4 linked regions of the Stegostoma tigrinum genome follow. The protein of the gene in region 3 interacts with the protein of the main gene of each other region in a pairwise test. Links are inferred from orthologs where the notes say so. Each region holds a gene or a part of one and is shown on either strand. Other genes may lie near its edges.

What was found.
Region 1: the proteins of trim37 (region 3) and copb1 interact in binary tests that used the Homo sapiens proteins (3 or more experiments, as listed by UniProt). The two-hybrid records come from large-scale screens. The link is inferred for Stegostoma tigrinum from reciprocal best matches to the Homo sapiens genes TRIM37 and COPB1.
Region 2: the proteins of trim37 (region 3) and protein FAM107B-like interact in binary tests that used the Homo sapiens proteins (3 or more experiments, as listed by UniProt). The two-hybrid records come from large-scale screens. The link is inferred for Stegostoma tigrinum from reciprocal best matches to the Homo sapiens genes TRIM37 and FAM107A.
Region 4: the proteins of trim37 (region 3) and protein FAM124B interact in a two-hybrid assay, tested with the Homo sapiens proteins (2 studies listed by BioGRID and IntAct). The link is inferred for Stegostoma tigrinum from reciprocal best matches to the Homo sapiens genes TRIM37 and FAM124B.

The regions. Positions count from the first base shown.
Region 1 is NC_081370.1:30,699,655-30,707,193, reverse strand, and holds the start of copb1 (coatomer subunit beta), read left to right. Parts: upstream 1-4,532; 5' UTR 4,533-4,728; intron 4,729-7,539. UniProt on the Homo sapiens protein: The coatomer is a cytosolic protein complex that binds to dilysine motifs and reversibly associates with Golgi non-clathrin-coated vesicles, which further mediate biosynthetic protein transport from the ER, via the Golgi up to the trans Golgi network.
Region 2 is NC_081364.1:52,121,694-52,129,463, reverse strand, and holds the start of protein FAM107B-like, read right to left. Parts: upstream 3,017-7,770; 5' UTR 2,975-3,016; intron 819-2,974; exon of another isoform or gene 799-818; 5' UTR 564-798; coding exon 540-563; intron 1-539. UniProt on the Homo sapiens protein: Stress-inducible actin-binding protein that plays a role in synaptic and cognitive functions by modulating actin filamentous (F-actin) dynamics. Mediates polymerization of globular actin to F-actin. Also binds to, stabilizes and bundles F-actin.
Region 3 is NC_081380.1:41,719,172-41,726,140, reverse strand, and holds the start of trim37 (E3 ubiquitin-protein ligase TRIM37), read right to left. Parts: upstream 3,020-6,969; 5' UTR 2,940-3,019; coding exon 2,921-2,939; intron 1-2,920. UniProt on the Homo sapiens protein: E3 ubiquitin-protein ligase required to prevent centriole reduplication. Probably acts by ubiquitinating positive regulators of centriole reduplication.
Region 4 is NC_081367.1:24,340,957-24,347,842, forward strand, and holds the start of protein FAM124B, read right to left. Parts: upstream 3,020-6,886; 5' UTR 2,804-3,019; coding exon 2,739-2,803; intron 1-2,738.

The sequences.
Region 1 (7,539 bases), on a different chromosome or scaffold from region 3:
AATTGGGCAGGGAAGACCAAATTAACAAATTGAACTTCAAACAGAATTTCTTACAGATATGAATGCAATGCTCTCATGATCTTGGGTAAGAGTGGAATTTTTTTAGGGATCTGAATGTTCTACTGTTTCACATAATCTGCGTTGCATGTGACATTTTACTTTAAGTTGCCTACTTCCTTCTCCAGTCCTCCTTATCTTACTCATTTATGTCATTACTTTGGAACAACATCGGCAAGCCAGATATGTCAGGAAGTACCTCCTTTTTATTTCTGTACGGTAATTCAGCCTGGCGTTTCATTCCTAATTCTTTATTCTGCAATTCCTTTCTCAATCCTTCCTGTTCTGTTACTCAAATCCTAAACCTCATGCCGCTGCTTCAACACCTCCCACAATTTAAAGTTTTCCTCATGATCACATAATCTAATCCCTCTTCAACAGGCATTATTATCCCAGTTCGCCAGTTTAGATTAGTTCGTTATTTCCTCTGCAGTTTTTTTCCACATAGTTATTAAAGTTTTTCAGTTTGCCCCTGATTTGCATTTCAAAATTGCTTCTTTCACTTTGGTGCATTTATCTACCACCTCGTTCCCTCTATTTGCCCAATTTCATTCCCTAATTTATTATTAAGGCATGCTGACAGACGTCTGAATTGCTCCTCATCCTCAGAATTTTCTCGGCACGTTTGATGCGGAGGAGCTCCAGTGCCGGATATATCCAAAGTGTACTCATCCTACACTTATCTCTTACCCTGGGTTTATTCACCCTCCCAGTGCTCTAACATCCACCCCAACGGACTATCGGGCGGAATCCCGGGGCCTCGTCCTCTTGGCCCCCTACTCTGTTCCCGGGGGCTCTTACCTTTTAGCCCCCATCCCTGTCCCACTTCGGACAGATTCCCCGATCGCCCGGATAGTAGTTAATAGTCAATTTTCTTACCCGGGTCTTGTGCACAAGAATTGCTCGATCGACTCACATTCCAAGGGCCCTTAACCTAAACCCACTTGTTTTCAGAGTCTCCTATCCGGATACGACTCGCTCAAGCCGCCCAACGGCAAGCAAGGACGTCTGGGACCTCTGAACTCAGCGGGGCACGCCTTCTCTTCTTCCGAACCCACCAGCGGACGACTCGGAGTGTGGATCCCGGATGAGCCCCCAAGCTTGTGAGATATAAATTCACGTGCTCACAATCACAAAGTCAGGAGGCAAAGTCTTGGAAACAAGTTACTTGCGCTTTATTACGAGTCTGCAGAATCGGGTGCCTCCCATTGCCTGAGACGCACACAGGTCAGGGAGTCACCCCTTCCCTTTCGGCTCTGTCCAATCTGAGCTCCAAGATGCACAATCTTCCCATGTCATCCCTTGTCCCACACTCTTCATACATTGCATGTTATGTTAATTAAGCAGTCTCGTAAGCATGGGCGTGAAAGTTAATATGCATTGTCTCATTAAGCATGCGCTTTAACTATGTCTATGGTGCAAAGCAGAACTTAGCAGTTTGGGTCCAGTTCATTCTGGTTTCTAACTGTTTTGTCTTCACTCCCTTATCTTATCACTCAGCTCAGTACCAGATGTCTTTGTTCAAAGCTGCAGTAATTCTTTACTGCAGTGTACTCATCCCTGTCTCTCATACTGTTCTTGCCACCAAAGTGTATAACCGCACATTTATCCACATTAAACTGCATCTGCCATGCATCCGTCCACTCAGTTAGACTGTCCAAATCACCCTGTATTGTCATAACATCCTCCTCACATTTCACACTGCCACCCAGCTTTGTGTCATCAGCAAATTTGTTAATATTACTTTTAATGCCTTTGTCTATATCATTAATGTACATTGTAAACAGCTGCGGTCCCAGCACCGAACGTTGTGGTACCCCACTGGTCACCGCCTGCCATTCCGAAAGGGACCTGTTTATCACTACTCTTTGCTTATTTGATATTTACCCCTAGAAACTTGAAGTGCTTGATCATCTTTACCTCTGCACCATTGTGACCAACAGGGCATATCCTCCAAGATAATAAAATGTGAGGCTGGATGAACACAGCAGGCCAAGCAGCATCTCACGAGCACAAAAGCTGACGTTTCGGGCCTCTAGCGTCACCGTAGACCAAGGGCTCGGGTGATACTGATGTTATATGAGGCAGGTTGTTATTGTCATTAACGGAGACAGATGTTATGTGCAACTTTGATGTTCTTATGTCTCGGTGAAGGGACTTAATTCACCGTTTGCGGTTTTTCCTCACTTGTCACTGAAGAGTTGCAGAAGTTCGAGTGTCAGTGACAAAGTGAGTCTCGAGGTCTTTTGGGCGAAAGTGTCGTATCTCTCGATGCCGAGGAATGTCATGAGGCGGTTATTCATTTCCGACCACTTGCCTCGTGCGCCCATCACAAAGCCAAAATAGCTGGGCACCTCGCCTCCTGTCAGTTTCGTGATCTCGGCATTCAGGTGTTTATATTTTTCCACTTTTTCTCGCCATGCTGTTTCCAGTGCTTTATTGTCATTTTCGTACCGCACTGTGACATCTACGATCGCGATCTTCTTGTCTTTCTTAAATATGAGATCGGGTTTCCATAGTGAGCCGTGTGTATCGAATAGTCTGGGCTCCACGTATGATGTCCAGCCGTACTTACTGACGTGTTTCTGCAACTGGTCAGCGATCTTATTATGGCGTTTGATTCGAGCTTTCTTAACGAATGGGCAGTATCCTGAGATGTGTGGTAGGGTCTCATTTGCCATCTCACATCTACGGCATAGTTTGTTTCTGTACGGCCTACCTCTAGATATTGTGGTTCTTGTTGGGTATAGGTTACACCGCAAGAGCTGCGGATTATCGCGGATGGTATTTGCACTTCGAGTTTTGGGACGCCGAGACCATCGTTCCTGTAGCTCGAATATAGTATTCTGTCTGCGGTATGAGGTGGTAGGTGTAGGAATTCTTTCGTGGCGTTACGGATGATTTGGTCCAGCTTTACAAGAGTAGTTTGTGATGCTTCTGTTAGGATCATATGGAAGTACAATCTGGGGATGACATGCACCTTTAGGATTTCCAACCGTTGCCGTGGTCGGAGAGGCGCTGCCTGTATTCCCTGAACCCAGGACTTAAGCTTCTCCTCCCACTGCCCTTCTGCCACACCTGCCCATGGATCGATGCGGGCACCCAGGTATTTCTCGGTGTCGCCTGGGGGTATGTAGGCTATGGATTCATCCCGTAGCTTCCAGTTTTTGTGCTCGTGAGATGCTGCTTGGCCTGCTGTGTTCATCCAGCCTCACATTTTATTATCTTGGAATCTCCAGCATCTGCAGTTCCCATTATCTCTGAGGGCATATCCTCCATTTCACTTTCTGAAATTGATGGCCAGTTCCTTCGTTTTGCTGACATTGAGGAAGAGATTGATGACTTTATAGCATGCCACTGAGCTCTCTATCTCTCTTCTGTACTCTATCTCATTGTTGTTGTCATCAGCGAATTTGTAAATGGAGTTACAGCTGAATTTGGCTACACTGTTGTGACAATATAAGGACTATAATAAGGGTCTGCGTGCACAACTTTTCAGGGTGTTGAGGATTATCATGGAGGAGGTACTGTCACCTATCCTTACGATTGTGGTCTGCTGCTCAGGAAGTTGAGGATCCAGTGCAGAATGGGGAGGAGTATCCTAGCTCTCGGAGGATTGGGAAATGAGTTTGGTTGGAATTATGGTGTTGAAGGTAGAGCTAAAGTCACTAAATGGAAATTTGACATACGTGTCCTCGTTATTCAGACGTTCCAGGGATGAGTATTGGACGAAAGCGCTGGTGTCTGCTGTGGACATATTGCGAGGATGGACGAACTGTAGCTGATCAAGGCAACCTGGGAGACTGGAGATTATGTATGCCATTAGTAACGTTGACTGGTTCCCAGGGAGGAAAGAAGATACAGACGTTGTTCTTGAGGTATGCGAGTGCTTGAGGTATTTGAGCAAATGGAGCAACTGTTCCCAATTGTGAAAGGACGAAGGACACAAAATTAAATAATTGGCAAAATAAGCAACCGCAATACGAGGAAATAACTTTTTTTTTATCCGTGCAGCCGGCACTCGAGGTCTAGAATACACTGCTGGAGACTGGTTCAATCGATGTCTTCGAAAGGGAATTGGACTGATATGGTAGCACAGTGTGGAGCTGGAGGAACACAGCAAGCCAGGCAACATCAGAGCAGCAGGAAAGCTGATGTTTCGGGTTCGAGACCCTTCAGAAAAGGGGCTAATTCTGACTCCAACAACTGCAGTTTTTACCATCTCTGGACTATGAAGTGAAAAGTTTTTAAAAATGTATGGAAAAGGAAGAAAAGCATGAAAAGAAAAAGACAGGCAAAAAAAATGTGCACCTTTGGAGTAGGGAGAAGGAAGCTATGAAGTGAGTCGCTCTGATAGTGTAGAGATGATGCATGCTCTCGTGCAGCAGTTCCCTGATTACACTTGTGCTCTGGACGGGAAAGTCTGCCTGCGATTGCGGATTGTGACGTGGCTCCTCGGAGCGCGCTTGCGTGTCTATTGGCACCGCTCGGCCGCCGTCGATCATTGAGGTTGCAGTTCCACGTCAGCTGGAGGACAACGGGAGGAAGAGATCGGCTTCCTCCTCCTCTACCTCCACACAATCATCATCATCCTCCTCCTCCCCCCTCCCCGCTTCTTCAGCCGCCGTTGATACAGCGACCCGGCCTTCTCTTCTCATCTCTGGAGACCAGGTGCAGTAAGACCGTCGCCTGGCAGCGGAGGTTGCCAGTTCCTGGCCGCGGCCTAAGGCCGGGTTTTGTTGTTGTCTCGGCCCCACTCATGCTTCCCGGAGCAGATTTACATCACAATAGGGAGCGGTCCTGCTCCCTCCTCAGATGGACTGGACTGACTCTTCGGCTTTAGATTGAAGCAAAATCAAATGAGGTTTTGAATAATCCTTGAGAAGCCGATGTTTTTACAAAAGTGAAGGGTCCCCGTGTAAGCATGTAGCTTAATATTTCCGCAGCATAATGTTCTCTGTTCACTTCCTTTGGGCTTCACTTTAACATTTGAATTATGCCTTTTTGCAAATCTAATGACTTTGCAATCAGGTAAAACTTGCCTGGTCCTGGAAAGTGCCAAGTAGTCAAAATGGCCAGGTCAGCTTTTAAACTGTCGGGATGCCCAGCACTGAGCGAGAGGAAACTGCTGCTACATAAACATTAACAGCGAAAAATCGAAAGGTCGAATTTCTGCGAGTTGTTTTGTGAAGTTTGCTAGCAAGTTGTGCATAAGATAATCGCTTACCAGAAGCGTCGGTCAACCAATTTTTCTTTCATTTAGAAAAGCTTTAAGCTTCAGTTTCAGCGTGCATTTTAAAATGGAATCATAATTTTCTCCAGTATATTTGGGATTCCATTCCATTCCTTATCAATAAGACCTCCTTTCTGGTTTAAATCTGTATTTGTCTTCTTGCCTAACTTTGCACTTTATTTCTTAATGTAATTTGCCATTTATCATTTCCGAATTTGTTACCTTTTCGATCTCCTTGGAGGTTTTCTTTCAAACCTGAAATCTTGATGGTACTTCATAATTCTGACTTAATTAATTCTATGAATTAACATCACTGTTCTTTCATTGAATATTCCTTTTGTGATTTGGTGGTGAGAGCTAGATACAGTAATCATAAGTTTTGAGCTGATCAGACAGCTGTCAGCTAGATCATGACTTACTCTGATTTGTGCCTACAGCAGTTCATCATTTTATTGGTTTTGTGGTTTGAATTTTGTGTTTAGTTGTACATCTTGTGACAAGTTTGTGGAAACACTTTGGTCTCCTTCAGCTTTCCTGCTATTTGCAAACAACATATATCTGATTTTCCTTCATGCATATTGAACATCATCTGCCATAGCTTTGTTCATCTGGACATTTTATGTCCCTTGTCTCACTTTCTGAGTTTCTTCCTTGCCCATCATAATTTAGCATTTGCAAATTTGAGCAAGTTGCATTGAAGTTTTGAACTTAAATATTGTATCAATCAACAATGAAGTCCCTTATTTACATTGGCTTCAAACTATATGATATACTTAAATGTTCTGTAAAACGCAAGTGTAGTTTAAATGTAGGATAAAGCTCCAATGACAGAATATTACCTGAAAATAACTACATTTCATGACTAAGTAATACAATGTGCCTGAGAGCCTGATAACTACACTGCACATCTCAGTTACTTCGAGTGTGAAATATCCTCTTAAAATTAGATAAAAGATCAAAGTGCAAACGTAAATTTTTTTTTCTCTAATTGTTACCTGCTGTATGAAAAAATGGTTTGTCAACCTCTTATTATATGATATTGATATTTTTGGTGAATACATGGCCTTCAGGAAGGGAGATGTGACCTGCTTCTGAATTCCGTGTAGTCCTTTCAGTTCCTGCTATTGATAAACAAATGGCAGAGTTCTAAAAAGCCATGATGTAAACTACAGTGTTATGATATGTCCCAGTGATGGCTCATAGCTAAATGCTATTGCCGTTTGTGACACAGTGCATCATCTCCAATCTCCCTATTCCTTTCCGAAACCTTTGGATGTCTGTCACCACCCAAATTGCTGCCCATCTTTCCTACAATTTCATGTTTGAAGCTCACTAATTAACCTTCTGCTCCTGCTGTAAGTCAGCTGTTATTAAAGTTACAACTGGCAACTTATATGACTGTGACCATGATAAGTAATCATTCCATAGTTTTTTTAATCTGCCTTCAACCTTTGACAACGTTGGCCATGCTATCCTCCTTCAGCATATCTGCTGCATCGTCCAGCTGATTGAAACTAACCAGGGGCAATTCCATTCTGATCGACACAGTCATAGCCAAATAATTACCTGCAATGAGGTATTTTTATTTGGTCCTGTGTTACCTCTGAATTCAGCAAGGATGTATCCCTAACTATTACCTATTTCTCCCCTACCTCTTTGACATAATGCAAAATCACAATCTCAGGTACCATATGTATGCTAGTGCCATCCAGTTCAACTTCACTTCTACTTTATGTGCATTGTTTCTGATTTATCTCACTGCTTTTCTGACTCCCAGTGCTGAAAGGACAAATTTTCTCCAACTAAGTGTCATCTTAGTTAATTCACAGAAACTTTTCTTCAAAATAGCAAGGGAAAAGAATTATCCCTGATGACCTGTCAAATATTTCTCTCGTAGTTACTGTTATAGAATAGATTATTTGGTTGCATTGGTGTTCGTGGAATTTTCTTATGTGCAACTCTGCTGCTGTTTGCCTACATTACCACATTAGCTGCACTTCAAATGTGCATCATTGCTGTAAACTGTGTTTTGGAGTTTCTTGACATAAAAAGGACTTCATGAAAACAAACGCTGCTCTTTTGTTTTCGCTGACTACACCCATTTCCATGAAAACTTAGAGACCAAACCAGATTGTGCATGTCCTTGGTGTCATGTTTGACTCTGAATTTTCAACCCTAACTCAGTTCTTTGCCAAGGCAATCTGCTTCCACCAATGTAACATTGTCAACCTACATCATTCCCTCAGCTT
Region 2 (7,770 bases), on a different chromosome or scaffold from region 3:
TCTTGCCCTTTTTGTCAACAACTCACTGTCTTACAATCACATTATTGTGGGAGGATCTACTGTAGCAAGATCTATGCCAGTAAGATTAGAATTGCTAGTACAGGTCCAATGTTAGATTATTAATATTCTAACTCAGGCTTTTCTATAGCCACAATCTTTCCTGCGGGTAAGATTTTCCCAATCTGTTTCATTGGACAAAACCAGGCAATAAGGGAAAGTGTGAGGAAACAAATAGATCAGAAAAGAATTAACGCTTTTATTGAATAACATAAATAAACCTATGCTTCATATCTGTTAATCATTTAAATTTAACATACTTAAAGCAATTCAATCCCACAGCCCATTTCTCTATTTTCAGACAACAATCAGTTTGTTTCAGTTCTTCTTAGCAGTTGGTACTTAACTCAATATAGGCAATTATCCACAGCCAGCACACAAAATATTAGTAGTTTAGTATATTTTATGTGCTGCTAAGCGTTCTGACCCCTCTTTCATTATGTAAAATGTTAAATCAAGATGACGAACAAAGGACTGTTTACCTTTTTACCATGAGCTGCTCCCATGTTGATGGTTTTGCTCACTCCTCTTTAGGTTCTGCTGCAGTTTCCCCTGAACAATATCCTTTTCTGTCTGGGCTCCCCGTGCTGTTCTCTTTCTGCAAGAGGAGCTGCTTGCACAATGTGCGAGGAGGCACAGACTGCAGCAGGCAGGCAGGAGATGTGAAAACACGCAGCTCTGGCACCTTGACAACTCTTCCACAGAACCAAGGCTTTACTAATTCAGCAAAATGGCAAAGACCTGGGACGGAGAAGCCAAAAAACAAGTATTTAAGAGTCTCACTAATTTATAAAATAAATTAACAAAGCAAAACACTGCAATTACAACACTGATTGACACAAGTATTTCTCTCTTCAGTCCACAGCAAGCTGTGGTATGTGCCCTGTGAAGCTTTAGTACTGAATAAAGATTACATTAATTGCTCATGACACCATGTGATGATGCACAGAGCACATGGATGGCTTTACATAGAATGTGACAGGCCTACAATGCCTCGTTATTACACAAAGAAGATGTTCCTGCTGGATGGGCCTGGGTCTTCTGACATTTACATCTGGAGCTCTTCCAAGCAGCAATGCCATCCATTTTAGTATTTTGCACTGATTCACGTACCCTGCTAAATTCTGTTGAACATCCGCTAGTGCTGTGTAATAGCCAGACAGTTTATGAACTCTAGCTCAAAATCGTTTTAATCTCCAGTTGACCATCAGTTGAGTTACAATACAGTCACATGAATGAATTGCAATGTTGCCATTTCATTGCTTAAAACAGGCTTTTTGTTAAATGGGTTTGAGTTTGTGAGCTACAAAATTGAAGGTATGCTAATTGATGGATGTAAGAATTACATTAATATAGACATTGTTACACATCTTAACTATCGGTATGGAGACTCAAATGAAGTAGAAAACCTTGCAAAAAAACGTTAGTTTTCTTTTCTCAAAACCAACAGCTTAATATTTTACTTCAGATCTTGTTAACCAGCAATTTATTTTTCTGTATGTCCAATGGGATTAAGTCAACTCTCTTTTGCATTAATGTTCATATCATTGCTTCCTTTGGACATAAACTGTTCAAAACTAGCTACAATTAGAATTTATTACCAGCAACTTCCAATATTAATTAGACATCTTTTCATGAGCAAAGTAATGTAGTTTTTGGTGATTGCGTTCTTGCAAACGGTGTACAAGATAATGAGAGGCATGGATAGAGTCGATAGCCAGAGACTTTTCCCCAGGGACAGTATTGACTGCCAAGAGGTGTCATAGTTTTAAGGTGTTAGGAGGAAGGTATAGAGGAGATGTCAGAGGGAGGTTCTTCACCCAGACAGTTGTGAGCGCATGGAATACTTTGCCAGTGGTAGTCGTGGAAGTGGAGTCATTAGTGACATTTAAGCAACTGCTGGGCATGCACACGGACAGCAGTGAATTGAGGGTTAGGTTGTAGGTTAGGTTATTTTAGTTTTGGATTAGGATTATTTCACAGCACAACATTGTGGGCTGAAGGGCCTGTACTGTGCTGTACTTTTCTATGTTCTAAAACCAATTTTTATAAAGTAGATGTATGACTTCCGCTAAGTTTTCTCTCTATCTGATATTCTGAACAAAGGTAAGCCAGAAGGGATGAATGATGTAAGCTTTTCTCAAACATCATGCTCCCCTCCACCCCAAATATCCTGACCCTGAGACTCATCATCATTGGGCAAATCAAAGTTTCATTTTATTTATTTGTTACAACCTGACAATTATTTGGATTTTGTATGAAAATTCAGCGTGTCTTTTGGAATTGCACTGATCCAGTTAGAGCGTAACAATGTGTGTGGTCTATAAGTCAGTGTCATTTTCAACTCTGATGTTCAAGCATTGATCTGGGAAAATGGATTGTCTGCCCATTGTAGAGCCCATCAATGAGATGGCACTCACACAGTTTCTACAATGGATGGGCAACCTTCCCCAAGAGGTAGAGATTAAACTTAACCTCTTAGAGTTACGGGTGTTGTGATTTATATTGCAAGGTGGCACAGTGGCTCAGTGATTAGCACTGCTGCCTTACAGCGCTGGGGACCCAGGTTCAATTCCATCCCTCGTGACTGTCTGTGTGGATTTTTCACATTCTCCCCATGTCCCTTGGGTTTCCCCCAAATGTTCCAGTTTCCTCCCACAGTCCAAAGATATGCATGTAATGTGTACTGACCATACTAAATTGCCATTGTGGCCAGGGATGTGTAGGCTAGGTGTATTTGCCATGTCAAATGCAGGGTTACAGAGATGGGGTGGATCTGGGTGGGATGCTCATTGGAGGGTTGGCGTGGACTTGATGGGCCAAATGGCTGTTTCCACACTGTGGTAATTCTAGGATTCTAAAGGAATCTGAGCTGAGAGTCTGAGATAATCGGAACTAGAGGAAGGTGTTGGCTCACCCATATTCCAGCCAAAGATCCAATCCACGTTCACTTCAGGTGTTGCACTTGCCAGGATCTTAGATTCACAGAAGGGTGCTATTTGAGCCATCATGTCTGCACTGGTCTTTCAAAGGAGACTAGTCCCAACGTGTTCAGTCTATCCTCAAAACTGAATTTTTTTTCTTTGTGAAACCATTCTCGTAAATCGTGGCTCTGCATATAGGAGAGTGTAACTTGTCAAGTGATCTTAGACGAAATGAAAACATCTGAAGACCATAATTACTTCTAAAGAAAAAGATCATTTAGCAATCTTTGCTGCAGAAAGAGCAAGATACTTGAGAATATTTTCCTGAACATTTTTTCATGTGGAGACCCCAAACTGTAAACTATAACGTTGCATTTTGCTTTGATTTAGTCTGACAACCAAAATATTCCCTTTGGGTGTTAACATCAGAGAATGAAAATCCAGCACTGTTTCCTTCCACTTGTCCAGAGCTAATATGTTAGAACTCTCTGAGCATAAGTGGTAACAGAAAAGCCTTTGATTGTGATGTTTGACCAGAAACCTGTAGTGTACAGTGAATGTAATGTTCTAAACAAAGCCAATCATACAATCGATTGCCTGAGGGTCTTGTAGTGTCCCTGCATCTGGGTCAAAAGGCAAATGTCCCACCTGTTCTGGAGGCACATCACACCACATCTCAGTAGTTTGCTTTGTATAGCTATAATCAATTACTTTTGTAAGACACTAATTAAAACGGCTCGTTTGAACTCTGTATAATTAATTTGCAAAACCATAGGTCAGGGAGAAACTTGGAGTAATAATAATTCCTAAAATGTTTAGTTTGTAATTCCTATTGACCATGCTGTGTGTGGCATTGGTAAATCTCTCAGAGCAGGTCATCCATCCATTTGTATCTGTGTTTCGGGCAGTCTAGGAAGAGGCAGGAGACTGGCTCCAAGTTAAAATGTTCATGCAGACACGATGGGCTGAAAATCCTCCTTCTGTGCTTGAACAATTCCGTGATTTTGTGACAGTAAGTGGAACGAGGTGGGGAGACTACTTCCCAGACTGATCATAGCTCAAACTATTTTTCTAAACAAGCTATTCAGAGATGTTATTACACACTTGGAGCAGCAAAGAGGAATGGCCCAACTGAGACCAATAAGTAGCTAATTTATGATCACCTGCGGGCTTAATCAGCCTGTGCCAGGACTAATCCAGGCTGGAGGCAAGCCTTTTGCTAAGCATTGTGCATGACAGCTAAAACTGTGTGGCTGGCTTGCCAGCCAATAAGAGGAGGTCCCTCAATCAAAGGAACTGAGGCCCTGACAGAAAGCTACCCCTTGCCTTTGCTGCCGATTCCTCTACCAATGACCTCCACTCCACGAAACCCCTCCTGACATTACCAATCTCTGTGGTAGGGTTAGGGTTAGGTTTAGGTTTAGGGTTACCCCATCGCAAGGTTACTTCACAATCCTGGGGCTCAGGTGAAGGTTTCTCCTGAAACAGCCACGGTCTTCCCTGCAGCGTTGCTGGGCACAAGAGTCACTGTCTCCTGAGTGACTGGCATCTCTTGGTAGGTCAGATTTCTGCCCTGGGGTCCTGATTTCAGGTGAAGGCTTGCTGGTGGCCTCACTGCTGCCTGTTTGGTTTATGGTTTGGTAGGTCTCCCTGGGAAAGGTTGTTGCTGGCCCTCCAAACAGCAGGCAAGATCTGGCTGACGGAAACCCTGCTGGTAACTCTTTATGTGGAAAATAAAATGACGAATATTAAACAATGTTTGTATAATGCAAGTGGCTATATTATTGAATGGATTCCCTGTTCTCGTCAGGATATCAGCACATTAATTTACATACGCATGGTTGTCAGGTAAAAATGGCTTGAAACAAAATTGACATGCTCATTAAATTTGCAACCTTTAAAAAACTGGTTTAGTGCTATCAATCTCATCAAAACATAGCATTCCTGTTTTTTAACCTGCAGAGGAGGTTTCCAGTTTTTTCATCATGTAGTCCTTGGTAATGAAAGTGTGGGAGTTAAGTGCTGGTGATTCATTTCTGATGTGACCAAATGAAAGTAATGGCATAGTATATTTCCTGATAAAATATTGTAATATACTGCACAAGGGCAAATGCGAAACTGGTGAAAGCAGAGTCAAAAAGTAAGCATTCATTGAGAAGCAACTGCAAAATATATTCCCAACTTCCAAGGTTCATTTTAAAAGTCAGTGATTCCAAAATTATTGACTTTGATGAGTTGAGGTTCAACTTTGTCAAAAAGCTGAAACAATGTATTGAAACAAACTGTTTGGAAGAATCTTTTATCAATTCTGTTCTCCTCGTGCCTTGGGGACAGTGACCACCCTTGATTATCATTGTGTTGTTTCTGTCGCTGTGATATAAGCAAGCTGAGTTTAGTATTTTCTTGCAGAGTATTGTAATGGTTCTTCTACAAGATTTTAAATAGCTTTGGAAATTCTTTTTGAAATTCCCTTTTTCATTCATTCTAAAATATAGTATTCACTATTTGTAGGAGACTTAGTTGAATACATTCAGTTCTGGTTAAAAATGAGAGTCTGATTTCTCAGTATGTATAATACTTTACTGGCATTCCATGAGCTGTGGCCAAGTCTCAAGGTAATTTGCCAAGACATTTGAAGTGCTGTGATTTCTGGACCCTGGGCCTACATGTTTATTGACCTGACTCTTACAGACTTCAACCACAGGTAGCTGATGTCAGTATTGCGACAGCTACTTTTATGTTGAGTTTAAATTCTGTTTCAAAGCCTTGTACTTTCACACCGATGGTCCAGAATCTATTTTATTCCGTCTGAGTGTCAGTAGAACCACTGTCTTCACTTTTTGTTCCGGAGCTTTAACTTTAGGAACATTTTTCCTTGTTGCATGATTTCCACCTCTCTGGAAATTTTCCATTTTGCGGGATATTTCTTTATTTGTGAGGTAATTAAGGTGTTGTTAACTTGCAATATTTTCTGAAGAGCCCTGATTGGCCACACTTATAGCAGTTTTTAGTTCTTGCTGCTGGACATTCATTATGTTGTGATTCTCTTTTATGCTACAACCTAATCTAGTTGATGATTTTGATTCCAATTCTCCCAGCACTTTGCAAGGCTTTTGGGAAGGTGATGATGGCATCTTGGGACCTACCCATTTGACCAGGTCAAAAGAACTTCCCCTCCATCATAATGTCAGAAGTGGGATGAAAGTCAACTTTTTGCAGCATTTCAACAGGAAGATCTGGTTGTATTGTTGTGCAAGGTATTGATTTTGAAGGAGTTAATGTTTCCGTGACATTGAACTCCATCCCTTCTGAGACTGTCACACACAGGCTGGTGTGTTAAACGGTAAGTGCTACAGTAGCCTATGGAGGGTATAGCTCTCAAGAATCCTAGTAATTAGTCTTCTGGAAGGACTCTATGGTGGCCCATCCTCTTCCACTAATCATTAGGCTGGTTCTGGACAAAGTACAGATCAAAAAAAGGATTGCTAACAACAAACTACCCCTCAGCCAATCCTTGCTTGGAACCTTATTCTCACAGAGGTGACAGATACCATGAGGTGCTAATAGTGTCAATCAGTGTAATGCCACAGCTATTTCAATAGTGGCACTTTCTATCCATTGTTTACGTTAATTTATCATAATTTATACTCACAAATGGTGTCATTTTCTTGTCAAGCCAGGTACGTTACAAATTCAATGACAGGAAATCATGTCTATGTCATAAACTATTAATTTTGAAATCACTATAATTAACCGACCAGCGAGGTCCAAGGAGGTTTACAAATAAAACATTTATAGCTTGAAGCCCTCAGATTGAAAACTCTTATTTCCAATGACAGCTGGATATCAACAATTAAGTCACCATTTTTCACTGAGAGTGTAAACGTAATGATAAACCTAGCCATTTGTGTTGAGGTGGGAATGAAGACCCTACTATTACTATGATTAAAATTAAAGTATGTGATTATCTTGAAATAAATGATATGATTATACTCGATCTTTTTTTCCCAAGTTTTAGCATTCACAGCCTGTATAAGCATATCACTCATTGCTACAAAGAGCAAGGAGATAAACAACAGACAAGGTGTTTGAATTACCAAGGAAACTAGCAGATCCAAGGCTGAAGGGTGAGAATAACAATGGTCTGCATGAAGTCGAGAATTATAACTGTGTGCTGCAAACTCAGTATTTTTGACAAATGCTTTGGGTAATCAATAAGAGCTTATCCCTTATTTATGATCAAATAATATACTTGGGGCTTGTTTGAACCACATAGACTTCGGAGTGGTTATTTTTCACTCTCCTATCAACCTGCGAGTCTACTTTCAAGGGATTATGAACCTGCACTCCAAGTTGTCTTTGTTCAACAACACTTCCCAGGACCTTATCATTAAGGTGTATAAGTCTTGCCCTGATTTGTCTTTCCAAAATGCAGCACCTCACATTTATCCATATTAAACTCCTATTGCCACTCATTAGAACAATTTTGTCTGTTTTAACATACAGTATAAATCATTATGACAATCATTTCATTACATCCTGGATACTGACATCACCCACAAACTAACCAACTAACTCCCCTGCAATAGAATAGTAGATATCAGATGCTATTTTACAATGAGGTAACATACCCTTCCTTCCTTTACAACTGAACAGGGTCACTTTTGAATAATGGCATTGAATAATGAGATTGGTAGACCAAATACTCCAATAAATTCAGCTGATGCCAGGGCTCTTGTGGTGTAGTGGTAATGTTCCTACTTGTGAGCCAGAAGGTTGAAGTTCAAGA
Region 3 (6,969 bases):
TAATTAAGGATGAGCAATAAATGCTACCTTTGGCAACAAGATTATAAAATGATAAAAACAGTAAAATTTTATAATTCACAAGTTACATTTCAGCTAAAATTCTCTGATTCTGAACTGCACACCCACAGGTAGGATGCCAAGGTCTTGGATAAAATACAAAGATTTATTAGAATAGTACCAACAATAAGACTTCAATTACATAGAGTCTGGAAAAGCTGTTGTCAATATTAGAACCGAGGTTAAGGGGAGATTTGATGGAAGTTTTCAAAACTTCAAGAAGCATTAACAGTTTCTCTTTATTTACAGTACTGGAAGTCAGGCTGAAGATAACTGGTCAAAGAAGATGAAAAGAGACACATTAAACTAATATGAAATTCAATGCTGGAATGAATGGTATCAGGAAATTCAATTACAGCTTTCCAAAGGAAATGGTTTATATACTCAAAAAGGAGAATTACAGAGCTGTTATAAAAAAGCAGGCAGAGACTAACTGGAGCTACTTTCAGAGAGCTGGCAAAAACATACTGTACAATTCTATGTGTACAGCTGGATGAACACAGCAGGCCAAGCGGCATCAGAGGAGCAGGAAGGCTAACATTTCGAACCGAGACCCTTCTTCAGAAATGGGAGAGGGGAAGGGGTTTCTGAAATAAATAGGGAGAGAGGGGGAGGCGGACAGAAGATGGACAGAAGAGAAGATAGGTGGAGAGGACACAGACAGGTCAAAGAGGCGGGGATGGTGCCAGTAAAGGTGAGTGTAGGTGGGGAGGTAGGGAGGAGATAGGTCAGTCCAGGGAGGACGGGCAGGTCAAGGGGGCGGGATGAGGTTAGTAGGTAGGAGATGGGGGTGGGGCTTGATGTGGGAGGAGGGGATGGGGGGGGAGGGACAGGTTAGGGAGGTGGGGATGAGCTGGGCTGGTTTTGGGATGCAGTGGAGAGAGGGGAGATTTTGAAGCTTGTGAAGTCCACATTGATAACATTGGGCTGCAGGGTTCCCAAGCAGAATATGAGGTGCTGTTCCTGCAACCTTCGGGTAGCAATGTTGTGGCACTGCAGGAGGCCCAGGATAGACATGTCGTCTGAGGAATGGGAGGGGGAGTTGAAATGGTTCACGACTGGGAGGTGCAGTTCTTTATTGCGAACTGAGCATAGGTGTTCTGCAAAGTGGTCCCCAAGCCTCTGCTTGGTTTCCCCGATGTAGAGGAGGCCACAACGGGAACAGCGGATGCAGTATAGCACATTAGCAGATGTGCAGGTGAACATCTGCTTGATGTGGAAGGTCTTCTTGGGGCCTGGGGTGGGGGTGGGGAAGGTATAGCACTTCCTGCGGTTGCACGGAAAAGTGTCAGGTGTAATGGGGCTGGAGGGGAGTGTGGAGCAGACAAGGGAGTCATGGAGAGAATTGTCCCTCCTAAAAGTAGAAAAGGGTGGGGAGGGAAAAATGTCTGGTGGTGGGGTCAGATTGCAGATAGCGGAAATGTCAGAGGATGATGCGTTGGATCCAGAGGTTGGTGGAGTGGTACGTGAGGACAAGGGGGATTCTGGTTTGGTTGTTATTGCAGCGACGGGGTGTGAGAGATGAGTTGCGGGAAATGCGGGAGGCATGGTCAAGGGCGTTCTCAACCACTGAAGGGGGGGAAAAATAGCAGTCCTTGAAAAACAAGGACATCTGAGATGTATGGGAGTGGAACGCCTCACCCTGGGAGCAGATGCGGTGGAGGCAAAGGAATTGGGAATAGGGATGGCATTTTTGCAGGAAGGTGGGTGGGAGGAGGTGTATTCTAGGCAGCTGTGAGAGTCAGTGGGCTTGAAACAGATATCAGTTTCTCGGTGGTTGCCAGAGATGGAGACAGAGAGGTCCAGGAAGGAGAGAGGTATTAGAGATTGCCCAGGTGAATTTAAGGTTGGGGTGGCAGGTGACAGCAAAGTGGATGAACTGTTTGAGCTTCTGGTGGGAGCACAAGGCGGCACCAATACAGTCATCAATGTAACAGAGGAAGAGGTGGGGTTTAGCGCCAGTGTAGATCTGTCCGATGAAGGGTCTAGGCCTGAAACATCAGCTTTTGTGCTCCTAAGATGCTGCTTGGCCTGCTGTGTTCATCCAGATCCACACTTTGTTATCTTAGATATGGAAGAGGGTTTGTTCCACGTAATCTACCAAGAGGCAGGCATAGCTTGGGCCCAGTGGGTAACCATGGCCACACCCTTTGTCTGTAGGAAGTGGGAGGAATTGAAGTCGTTGAAGGTGAGGACAAGTTCGGCGAAGCAGATGAGGGCGTTAATGGAGGGCGACTGGTCGGGCCCACGGGACAGGAAGAAGCGGAGGTCCTTTAGGCTATCTATATGGGGCATGCAGGTGTAAAGGGTCTGGACGTCCATATTAAAGATGAGGTGTTGGGGGCCAGGGAATTGGAAGTTCTGGAGGACGTGGGTGGTGTCACGGGCATAGGTAGGGAGTTCCTGGACCAAGGGGAGAAAATGGAGTCGAGATGGGTGGAGATGTGTTCGGTGGGGCAGGAGCAGGTGGAGACAATGGGTCCCCCTACCGCATCCAAAAACCAGCCCAGCTTGTCCCCGCCTCTCAAGCCCCATCTCCTACCTATTAACCTCATCCCACCCCCTCGACCTGGCTGTTCTCCCTGGGCTGACACATCTACTCGCCACCTACACTCACCTTTACTGGCTCCATCCCCACCTCTTTGACCTGTTTTCTCTCCATTCATCTTCTATCTGCCTCTCCCTATTTATTTCAGAACCCCCTCCCCCATTTCTGAAGAAAGGTCTAGGCCCAAAACATCAGCCTTGCTGCTTCTCTGATGCTGCTTGTCCTGCTGTGTTCATCCAGCTCTACAACTTGTTATCTCAGATTCTCCAGCATCTGCAGTTCCTACTATCTCTGTACATTTCTATGCTTACTCACGTATTTGCAGACAACCCATTTCCCAGGCACACTGGGTGCACTAGTGGATTCATCACTAATTCCCGAATTAATGCAAGGCTGAGTGCAGACAGTACGGGCTGGGTAGGTACAAAGCACAACTGAATGCTCTTGTTTCTGTTTTGGCAACACAATCCTTCCTGAGCAGGAAAGAACAATGCAATGAAAATTGATTACTAACACTGAAACCGGTTTACACTGGAAATAAAAAGAAATGGAATTCCACATTCCTCGGCTATTCGACAATTATAGAAAACAATTAAACATACAGTTGAACTCACAGGCAGTCGTCCCATTCAGGGTAAAACGCAATAACGATGCTGCTGGCCCCTGGTCGGCGTCACTGCGGCTCTTCCTGCTCCTGCGAAGAGTAATGTTATCCGTAAGGCCTGTGTATGAGTGTAGGGGGATGTATGCAGGCCTCTGTGTTTGTCGATCTGCGGCCTACAGTGGGTGCACAGTGAAACCACTGACCGGCTGCGGTACATCTGACGGCAGATCCGGTCGCTCCTGACTGTCGCCCCTCACCACTTTTCAATTTTTTTGCTGTTTATTTTTCCTCTGCATCTCTGTCACATTATTTTCTTCTTCACGCTAGACTAGATTATTCATTCACCGATCGCTGTTTTGTTTCTTTTGCGCCTCATGTTTTTTTTTCCATCCCCCTCCCCCAACTCCGCGCCTCTTCAAATCGGCAGGCGACCGTTTGGTCACCCGGGAGACGAGGCAACCAATCGGGAAGCGGGCAGCTCGAATCCCGCCCCCCCACCACAGTGTGGTCACGCCCACTTCCGGTTACAACGTGTGGGGCGCTGCGGGGGACACGGCCCAATCAGCCATCAGGCCCGCTTTTTCGAGTTGACCAATCACAACGTGTTGCTGTTTAGAACGCATCCTCTCCCCGTCCTTCCAGGCCAGAGGAGCTATCGCGATAATTTTAGGCCGTTTCCCATAGCTACGACAATTGATGTGTCCAAGGCTACTAGCGGACGGGAAGGAATACAGTCCCTAACGACGAAGCGCGTGCAGCCCAGCTGGTGAAAGTTATACTGAGACTCAAGATAATAAAATGTGAGGCTGGGTGAACACAGCAGGCCAAGCAGCATCTCAGGAGCACAAAAGCTGACGTTTCGGGCCTAGACCCTTCATCAGAGAGGGGGATGGGGAGAGGGAACTGGAATAAATAGGGAGAGAGGGGGAGGCGGACCGAAGATGGAGAGTAAAGAAGATAGGTGGAGAGGGTGTAGGTGGGGAGGTAGGGAGGGGATAGGTCAGTCCAGGGAAGACGGACAGGTCAAGGAGGTGGGATGAGGTTAGTAGGCAGGAAATGGAGGTGCGGCTTGGGGTGGGAGGAAGGGATGGGTGAGAGGAAGAACAGGTTAGGGAGGCAGAGACAGGTTGGACTGGTTTTGGGATGCAGTGGAGGGAGAGGGGAAGAGCTGGGCTGGTTGTGTGATGCAGTGGGGGGAGGTGACGAACTGGGCTGGTTTTGGGTGCAGTGGGGGAAGGGGAGATTTTGAAACTGGTGAAATCCACATTGATACCAGAGATAATGGGAACTGCAGATGCTGGAGAATTCCAAGATAATAAAATGTGAGGCTGGATGAACACAGCAGGCCAAGCAGCATCTCAGGAGCACAAAAGCTGACGTTTCGGGCCTGGACCCTTCATCAGAGAGGGCTCCTGAGATGCTGCTTGGCCTGCTGTGTTCATCCAGCCTCACATTTTATTATCTTGGAATTCTCCAGCATCTGCAGTTCCCATTATCTCTGATACTGAGACTCAATCCGCTTTGTTACAGGAACTAAATTTCACAAAGACTTAATTTAAAAGGAGGATTTACATTTCCTTAAGCTTACGAAGAGGGTGATGTGTTTTCCTTTTTCCTCCCAGAGAGTCATACTTAAAAGCCAAATGTTTTGTCTCTCCTTTTCCACAGATGCTGCTGAGTTTCTCCAGTATTTTTTTCATGTCCGGTTGTAAATCCATTTCATTACGTTATAATAAAAACAAGGTACTGGCGGATGCTGGAAATCTTAAATAGTTTTAATTCATTCTATGAATAAGTAGTTTCAGAATAAGCGTTCCGATGTAGTCAATATCGGGCTGGAAACGTTACCTCCCTTTTTTTCTCACCACAAATACTTTCAGACCTGCTGAGATTGGCGTTTTTCGTTTTTATTTCAGATCGCCAGCATCCGCCGTATTTTGCTTGTAACCAGTGTTCAGTTGCCAACAGCAATTAATGCGGAGATTCATTACAGAACATTACGACGAGGATGCTGCATATACCTTGGCACACCTGAGTTTTTCAGAGCCTGTTGATGAATACGCTTAGAACCACAATCACTGTAGTAAATCTCCTGACAGAAGGTTAAAACAGATCACAAATCCAAGCGACAAAGGCATTTGGCGGTACTTGTCGTGTATTTCTGCGTCCTATAGACTGGGCAGGCCAAATTCAAGCCCTGTGAGCATGAGCTGTTCTGGAAACAGGCTCTACAATCATCATTGCCTATTTCTCTTTTGTGTCATAATTGTCAGTCAGGTGAGATACCAGAGGTGTGCAGGTACCTGTGTGCATGAATCAGTGCCTTTAGGATAAGAATGAATCAAATGGCAGACAATGGAAAGATTTTAAAAGCTGAAAAATCCTCACTTAAACTTTCCCGAAAACACCAACCTTTTAAATGACCTGCCTCAACAACTTTCTCTGTCAGCCCATTCCATATACACACCACTCTCTGCCCCTCAGGTCCTTCTCAAATCTTTTCCTCTCTCACCTTAAACCTATGCTCTCCAGTTTTCAATTCCTCATCCCTGGGAAAGAGACTACATGCATTCATCCTATCTGTGCCCCTCATGATTTTATATATCTTGATAAGATCACCTGTCATTCTCCGATGTTCCAAGGCCTATCCTGGCCAACTTCTCCCTATCTCTGAGGCCTACTATGGGCGGCATGGTGGCTCAGTGGTTAACACTGCTGCCTCACAGCACCAGTGACCAGGGTTCAACTCCACCCTCGAGTAACTGTCTGTGTGGAGTTTGCACATTCTCCCAGTGTCTGCATGGGTTTCCTCTAGGTGCTCCAGTTTCCTTCCACTGTCCAAAGATGTGTAGAGTAGTTAGACTGGCCAGGCAAAATTCAGGGATGTGTAGATTAGGTGGGTTATAGGGGTGTGGGTCAGGATGGGAGGCTCTGCGGGTTGGTGTGGACTTGTTGAGCCACAGGGCCTGTTTCCACACTAGGTAATTTTATGATTCTATTGTTTCATTACATTCAGAATGATCTGGGGAATGGAAGGTACCTTGTAAATGCAGGCTTCTTCAATCATTTATGTGACAAAAAAAATTGTAGTTTATAAATCATTCAGATCAATCCAAAATTTACTTCAGGTTGCGGTGGCCGAGATATAAAACGTGTGCAGGGCATAAAAGTCCATTGAACTAGAGTTAGTCAAAAATCTTGACACGTATATGCCAGTGGCTTCTCCTGGTGATCGGTGGCAGCAGCAGCTGCAACAAAGCTGATCGGTGGAGCATGTTTCCGGAGGAGACAAGAAAAACTGCAGATGCTGGAATGCAAGGCAGACAGACAGGAGGCTGGAAGAACACAGTAAGCAGGGCAGCATCTACAGGAAAGGCACAGTCAATGTTTCGGGTATTACCCTTACCTCAAGAGTAATACCTGAAACGTCAACTGCTGCTTTCCTCCAAATACTGCCTGGCTTACTGCGTTCTTCTTTCTTCCAGTTTGTCTACCATGTCTCCACAGGAGGTTGACACAGTCTCCAGGCCAGGCCAGGGCTAGGTACAGGAAGATAACACTTTTAAGATCTGGATGTTTTCCTTTTCTTTTATTCTTTCGCTTTTTAAAAAAAATTCTGCTTTTGTATTTTAAGATAGCAACTTTGTAAACTTTCCACTGTACTCCTATATTCCTGTGCTTGATAAAATCTAACTCTAACAATGGTTTGGTGTTAAGGCCTGATCAGAAACTATTCCGATCAAGTTTATTGTTTAAGTTT
Region 4 (6,886 bases), on a different chromosome or scaffold from region 3:
GGACAAGAAATCTAACAACATCTAAAACACCTTACCAAGGTCTAAGCTGATCACTACATTTATTTCACCTTGCCCCTTTCTGAAGTGATTGAACTTAAGTCATGAAACACAGTAAATAAAGTTAGTTATTAAAATTAGGTGCATTATTTCTAAGTTGCTGTCCAACAGGTGTCAAAATAATTCCTTACGTTTTAAAACAAAATCAGTAAAAAAGTTGTAGTAATACTAACTAGTAATTTTATTATGATCCTCAACATTATATGTTTCTAAAGAATTATTCAAGGGAGACTAGAAAGTAATTTTCTTTCAAAAGATTACAATTGATCAAAATGCTTCACAGGAATTGCTAACTGGAGCTGAGTTCATCAGGAAACTGAAGATGCAATTAAATAAAAAATATTTAAATGATTACAAGGAATGATCAAGTAAATGGTATTGCAATTTAAAAGTTTCATTAGAGAACTGGCATTATCAGCAGCAACATGGTACTGGAGATAGCTTTCAGCCTATGCTAAAGAAAGAATTCAGTTGGTGTTTTCTTCCTGAAGGCAGTTCTGGCCCACAATGTCACGAGTTCAGGCAGTGGAAGGAGACGGGTCCTGAATCTACCCCTGTTGAAAATAATGTTGTGTGCCCCAATCTGATTCGCACTTGCTATTCAGTCCCCAAGGAAGCCGAGTTGTGAAAACGTACATTTTTACATGCAAGATAACAAAGTGTGAAGCTGGATGAACACAGCAGGCCAAGCAGCATCTCAGGAGCACAAAAGCTGACGTTTCGGGCCTAGACCCTTCAGAGATGAAGGGTCTAGGCCCGAAACGTCAGCTTTTGTGCTCCTGAGATGCTGCTTGGCCTGCTGTGTTCATCCAGCTTCACACTTTGTTATCTAGGATTCGCCAGCATCTGCAGTTCCCTTTATCTCTGATCACAATTTTTACATGCACCTCCCAGCCTGGAGATATGGACAGCAATGGTGGAAGCTCACGTTTGTTACCCCGAGGTCATGACTGGCCAGGAATCGATTATTTCTGGCATTCAGGAGAGTGATTTACAAATCAAAATTGAATCAGTCTGGCTGTGTGATGAATGCACCCTCATTTACCATAAAGTTCAGGATTAGGGCATAAACTTGAGTCTCGGACTCCAAAACAGAAAGTGTATCAACTAAGCCACAAATCCTCCCTCTACTGAAACATTAATCAATATAAACCGAATATCTACACGGAATATGTTTAAAACATCTTTGAAATATCTATTACGTACACAATCTCTAGTCTCCGAGTTAGAGCTATTTTTCAAACAAGTTCGAAACATTTCCTTTTGTAAGGCAAACAATGAAGTCGCTTAAATCAACAATAAACTCAGGTTTTGGAATAACCTTAGGAAGAGATCAGTTAATAGATTATGGTTCTAGTACAGAACTTGCCCTGTGCAATATTAAGTGCTAGCTCATAGTGGCTGGCTCTAAAAAGAAAACTGCATTAGAACTGCTGACTAAACGCAACGCGTAACCAGGGAAGATTATAATCATCGGAATCTGAGAAGGAAATGTCTGGTGCAGTACATTCACAAAACAAAGTTGTTTGTTTGATACTGGGTCGGAAGTTTCCGCGGTGGCAAAAACTATTAGGTTTTTCGATAACCTAAAACAAAGAACTGCGGATGCTGGAAACCTGAAACAAAATAGAAAGTTGCTGGAGAAATCCAGACTCTTAAAATTGAACCCGAATTATTAACTCTGTTTTCTCCAGCACTTTGTTTTTCTATTAGGTTTTTCGAAATTGGTGTTTGATAATAAAATGCACAAAGGAATCAGTGTAAAGCGCCAACTCGGTGCAGCGTAGTTGAACTTAAAAAAGGTCTGGGGTTACCAGGGCAACAACTTCATCTGTGTTCGGAATTTTGATTTAGGTTCCTATTTAAACTGCGCCCGCTACACATTAGTCGCCAGAATGGTACAAACAGCATTGCTTTCTGGTTTCCACGGTGAATCAATAACCGAAATATCGTGGGCAGTGTGAATGTGTCACGTCTTCAACATTGACCGGCAGTTGACACCATTCGAGAGGTGATTCCGAGATTATGTCAGCCTCTTTACTGCGAGCATTAAATTAGAAACGTGATCTGCTCCAGCGCTGCTAACCAGAGATATACATTTCAGTTTGGCTCAGACTGTGGCAACTCTCGTCTTATTAACAATGATCTAATGCAGCCACAAAGGAATTTTTACAAAAACCTGACATAACGTCGGGCACAAACCCAGCAAAGACCTCCCGTTAAGTAGCCGGTTATCCACAATGTTTAACGGAATTGTGCTATTCATCTTTCGACTAGCAGCCTATCGACTGTAAAAGGCATTGAAAGTTCTTGGAGGAAGAAACTTCAACCCCGCCCAGAAAGTGGATTGTTCCTTCAGTGTACAAAAAAAATTGACTGAAATGTAATGTAGTGTAGATTTAAAGTGGAGCAAACCTGGCTGACAGTGAAGTGAATAAGTTGTGTTGTGAAGAGGCGTGTGCCTTCTACATTTCATTTAATTTCAAGTGAACTAGAGTCACCAGCAACCCGTGCAAGGATCTTGTGCCCACAGTACAACAGAAATCTTTTGTTGTTAACGGCTTCCCTCCCCTCCCCCTCTATGGTGCCCCGCCTGGTGACAGTGGAAACAAGCCGCCCTCTCCCTCCTGCTTCTGAATCACAACAGGCCCAGGAAGGAGTCGACAAAGGCACTCACTCACCCTGCAGTCTCAGCTCCCGAGTCTGCCCACTCCTCCGCTGGCCCACTGCTGCCGCCTCGCATCATGTCCCAGAGCTGCGTTCGGGAACCAGCTTGGATACTCTCACTGCTCAGGGAGGCTCCAGCTTCAGGCGGCTCCGCTCCTCATTGTTTTCCCGCAGGTTGATCATAGAAACACAACCCGCCCCTTGACGTCACCAATCCTGACAGACAAGACATGAGAGACTTCCAATTGAAGGGTTTTCCCTCTCTGCTGCTTGTCCAGCCACTCGAGAGAGAGAAAAAATCTTATTATGACTACAAATATAAGGAGGGGAACAAAAGGCGAGGGAGACCTGAGACAGCAATCAAAGATACACCCGTCAGCCATTTGGCACATATGGCGCAGGCTCATGGTAGCGTAGAGGTGACTAGATGATTTGTGGAAATCAATGGAGGTCAGGCACTGAAGGGGCTAGATTTTTCCTAGTAAAACATAACACGTTTTAACAAATGCAAAATTAAAGTCAAGTAAAAGAAACTTCCCAAGAGTGGATTTGATCCGTTTTCTGTCAACATTTGCATGTGGTCCCTGCCATCCTTTACCCTATCACCATAATCCTCCTATCCCTTCCTTCTATAATGTTCTAGCTTCCTCTTAAATATACTAAGATCACGCTACATTACACCTGTAGCAACAAGGCCAACAGGCTAACCATTGGAAGTAAATCTTCTCCAGCTCTCAAATAGGTTACCAGAGGGCACAAATAAAAGTAATGAAAGCAAAATACAGTAGATGCTGGAAATCTGAAACAAAGAATTTTTCCACTTGACAAAACCATGTTGAATCTTCTGGATTAGTGTTTTTTTCCTAATCATATAGCCAAAAACTTTAATGTTCTAGTCAGTGCTTTCTCCTTGAAAGCAATCCATGAACTATTCTTCAAGTCTATCTCTGGCAATATTTCCAGTTTACAACACATCAAATCAGCCATGATTATAGCTATCATTTTACCAGAAATACCTTTGTATATCTTGTACGTTTTGTTTGACATTGTGGTTACTGTTAGGAGGCATGATTAATAGTCCTACACCTCCAGTGTGTTTTGTATTCTTCTTAAACGTAAGATACCCCTCAATATTAAGGACCCACTGTCCACTATTAATTCATTTACTTTGTTATGAATATAATGCAGAGTTATGACCAAGGTCTTTACTACTATACTCTGACAATTATTTCCCATGTTACTGTTTTTCTCTTGCTTTATCTGTTTGATAGGCTATATTCTTCCACATTTATTCACTTGCCCTCACTATTCAGTTTAAAACACTTCTATACCCTAGAAACAGTTTGCAAAAACACTGGCTCAGCATGGTTCAGATAAACGCCACCCCAATGGTGTAGCTCCCATTTTCTCCAGCAGTGGTGCCAATGCCCCAAGAACTGGAACGACATGTCCCACATTCGTTCTTGCGCTTTACACTAGCGCCATTCCTTACCTCTTCCTCCGCTACATTGATGACTATAATCGGCACTGCCTTGTGCTTCCTTGAGGAGCTTGAACAGTTCATCAACTTTACCAACCCCTATTCCCGCAATCTCAAATTCACCCGGACCATTGCTGATACCTCCCTCTCCTTCCTGGATCTGTCTCCATCTCCAGTAATCATTTCAACATTGACATCTATTTCAAATCCACTGACTCCCACAACTATCTGGACTAGACCTCCTCTCACCCACACTCCTGCAAAATTATGATCCCTCACTGCCAACTCCTCCGCCTCATCTGCTCCCTCGATGAGGCGTTCCACTTTTGGACATTCCAGGTGTCTTCTTATTCAAGGACTGCAACCTCTCTCCCTTCCGGTGATCAAAAATGCCCTCAACTGTATCTCTTGCATTTCCTGCACTTACACTCTCAAACCCACGCCCTCCAACAAAATAGTCAGAATCTCCTTTGTCCTCACATACCACCCTACCAACCTCTGCATCCAGCCTATCATTTGCTGCCACTCCCGCCAACTACAACTCAACCCCACCACCAGAGATATTTCCTTTCCCATCCCATCTGCCTTTCATAGATTGCTCAATCCGTGATTCCCTCGTCCACTCCACACTCCGCACCTTTCCTTGCAACTGCACAGTGCTACACCTGCCCGTAAACCTCCCTCCTCACCTCCAAGGGCAAAATCAAACCGTTCATATCGAACAAGGGTTCACTTGTAGATTCTCCAACTTGGTCTACTGTATGTGTTGCGCCCTATGTGGACCCCTCTATATCAGTGAGATGATCAGGCGTAAAAGTGGAGACTATTTTGAGGGGCATCTGCACTCAGTATGCGACAAGCATCACCACCTTCCGGTCCCCAAACATTTTAACTCCCCCCCCCCCCCCCCACTCCCTCGGTGACATGTCCATCACAACGACACCACACGCAAACTGGTGGAGCAACACCTCATTTTCTGCCTCTGGAGCCTACAGTCCGATGGCCCAAAACATAGGATTCATCAGTTTTAAAATCTCCGCACACTGCCCCCCCCAACCAAAATCGGCTTCATCTCGCCTCCTTGACCTGACACAGCCTGTCCATCTTCGCTCCCACCTATCTGCCCTACCCGTCCTGCTGACCAATCCCCAATACCCACTATGTGCATCCAACCTAACACCATTCCACTTACCTTTCCCCAGCCCCATGCATCCTCCCTCCCACTTCCTTCACCCAAGCACATGTCCGTCTTCTCTCCCACCTATCCGCCCCACCACTCCCTACCTGCATTCACCTATCATCATCCCACTTACCTCCTCCTGTCCCACCACCCCTCCATTCACTTTCCAGCTCCCTTCCCCCTCTCAAATTTCTGAAGGGTCCCAACCCAAAATGTCAACTTTCCTGCTCCTCTGATGCTGCCTGACTCTCACTCTACATCAATTTGCATAGCATTCAAGTAATAATCCAGAGACCACAAAGTTTGAGGCTTGCCTTTTAATTTAGTGCTCTAGCTTCTCATACCCTCTATGCAGAAGTTCTTACCCAGCTTTATTTGTGTCATTCGCACCCAGCTAGATCACAATTTGATGATCCTGGTCCTGCGACAATTTTGTCTTTAGTCTGAGGAGATATTTTGTTCTCCTGGTACAAGACAGACAATGCAGTTGTCTGGACTGTCATCCATTGCTGAAGAGGATAAACCAATCCTCTTGAGTATACTAACTATGACCACAACAACACTTCTTGTTCTGCATGCTCCACTCCCACCCCCCTTACCTGCCTTACTCTGTCACATCTTCCCATCTCTGACCACAGACCAAATCAAGACGCTGTTCAAAGTAATGTGAATATTTCTTGCTACAAAGAATTCAGGTGACCTTTCTCCTCCCCGACGCATCTCAGCTCACCCGCCAGCACATACTGTGAGCCAAAGCAGTTCAAGCCTAAACATTAATAAATGATAACAACATAGAGTCACTGAGGAAGTAAAACAAAAAGGTTTAATGGAATACCATAAGAAATGAGAAGTTACGCCTGTCCAGAAAGATTGATTTAGCTCAAGTTCTTTTCTAGAAAAGAGGTGACTTCCAAGTGGCCTAATCGAGATCTTTAAGGGTAAGATCAGGGAGATGTTGCATTGCAGTTAGAAGGTTGGCCTTGTTACCACATTGAGTGGTTGAGTAGATGAACACATTTTAAGAGAAGTTAACTAAACACTGGAAGAAAAGGTTAGAAGGATGTATTGTTAGGATGAATAAAGAAGAACAGAAGGCAAACACTAGATATTTACTTGTATCAAGCCACTTCAAAATGGTACAGTTTCAATGTGAGTACAAAAGCAGAAGAAAAGAATAAAAATTGATCTGCAGTAGTTCAAGGAGTCCCCTACCTGTTCGGGGCAACTAGGAGTAGTACAATAACTGTTAGCCTTGCCAAATTCCCCTAGTTTAGAGAATAAATAAAAAATATTTATATCCAGAAGTGCAGTTCTTCATAGCAAAGCAATTCAAGCTATGCCAGCCAAAAAAATGTTCATTGTTCAAATCCCCACTCACTCCTCTTCCCCAACACATGCATCACAAAAGGACTTCACTGCAACACTGCATTTTTGATTTGTAGACACAGCAGCCTATTTGCACACAGCTGGCTCCCATAAATGGGCAGATTTCCCTTGGGTTA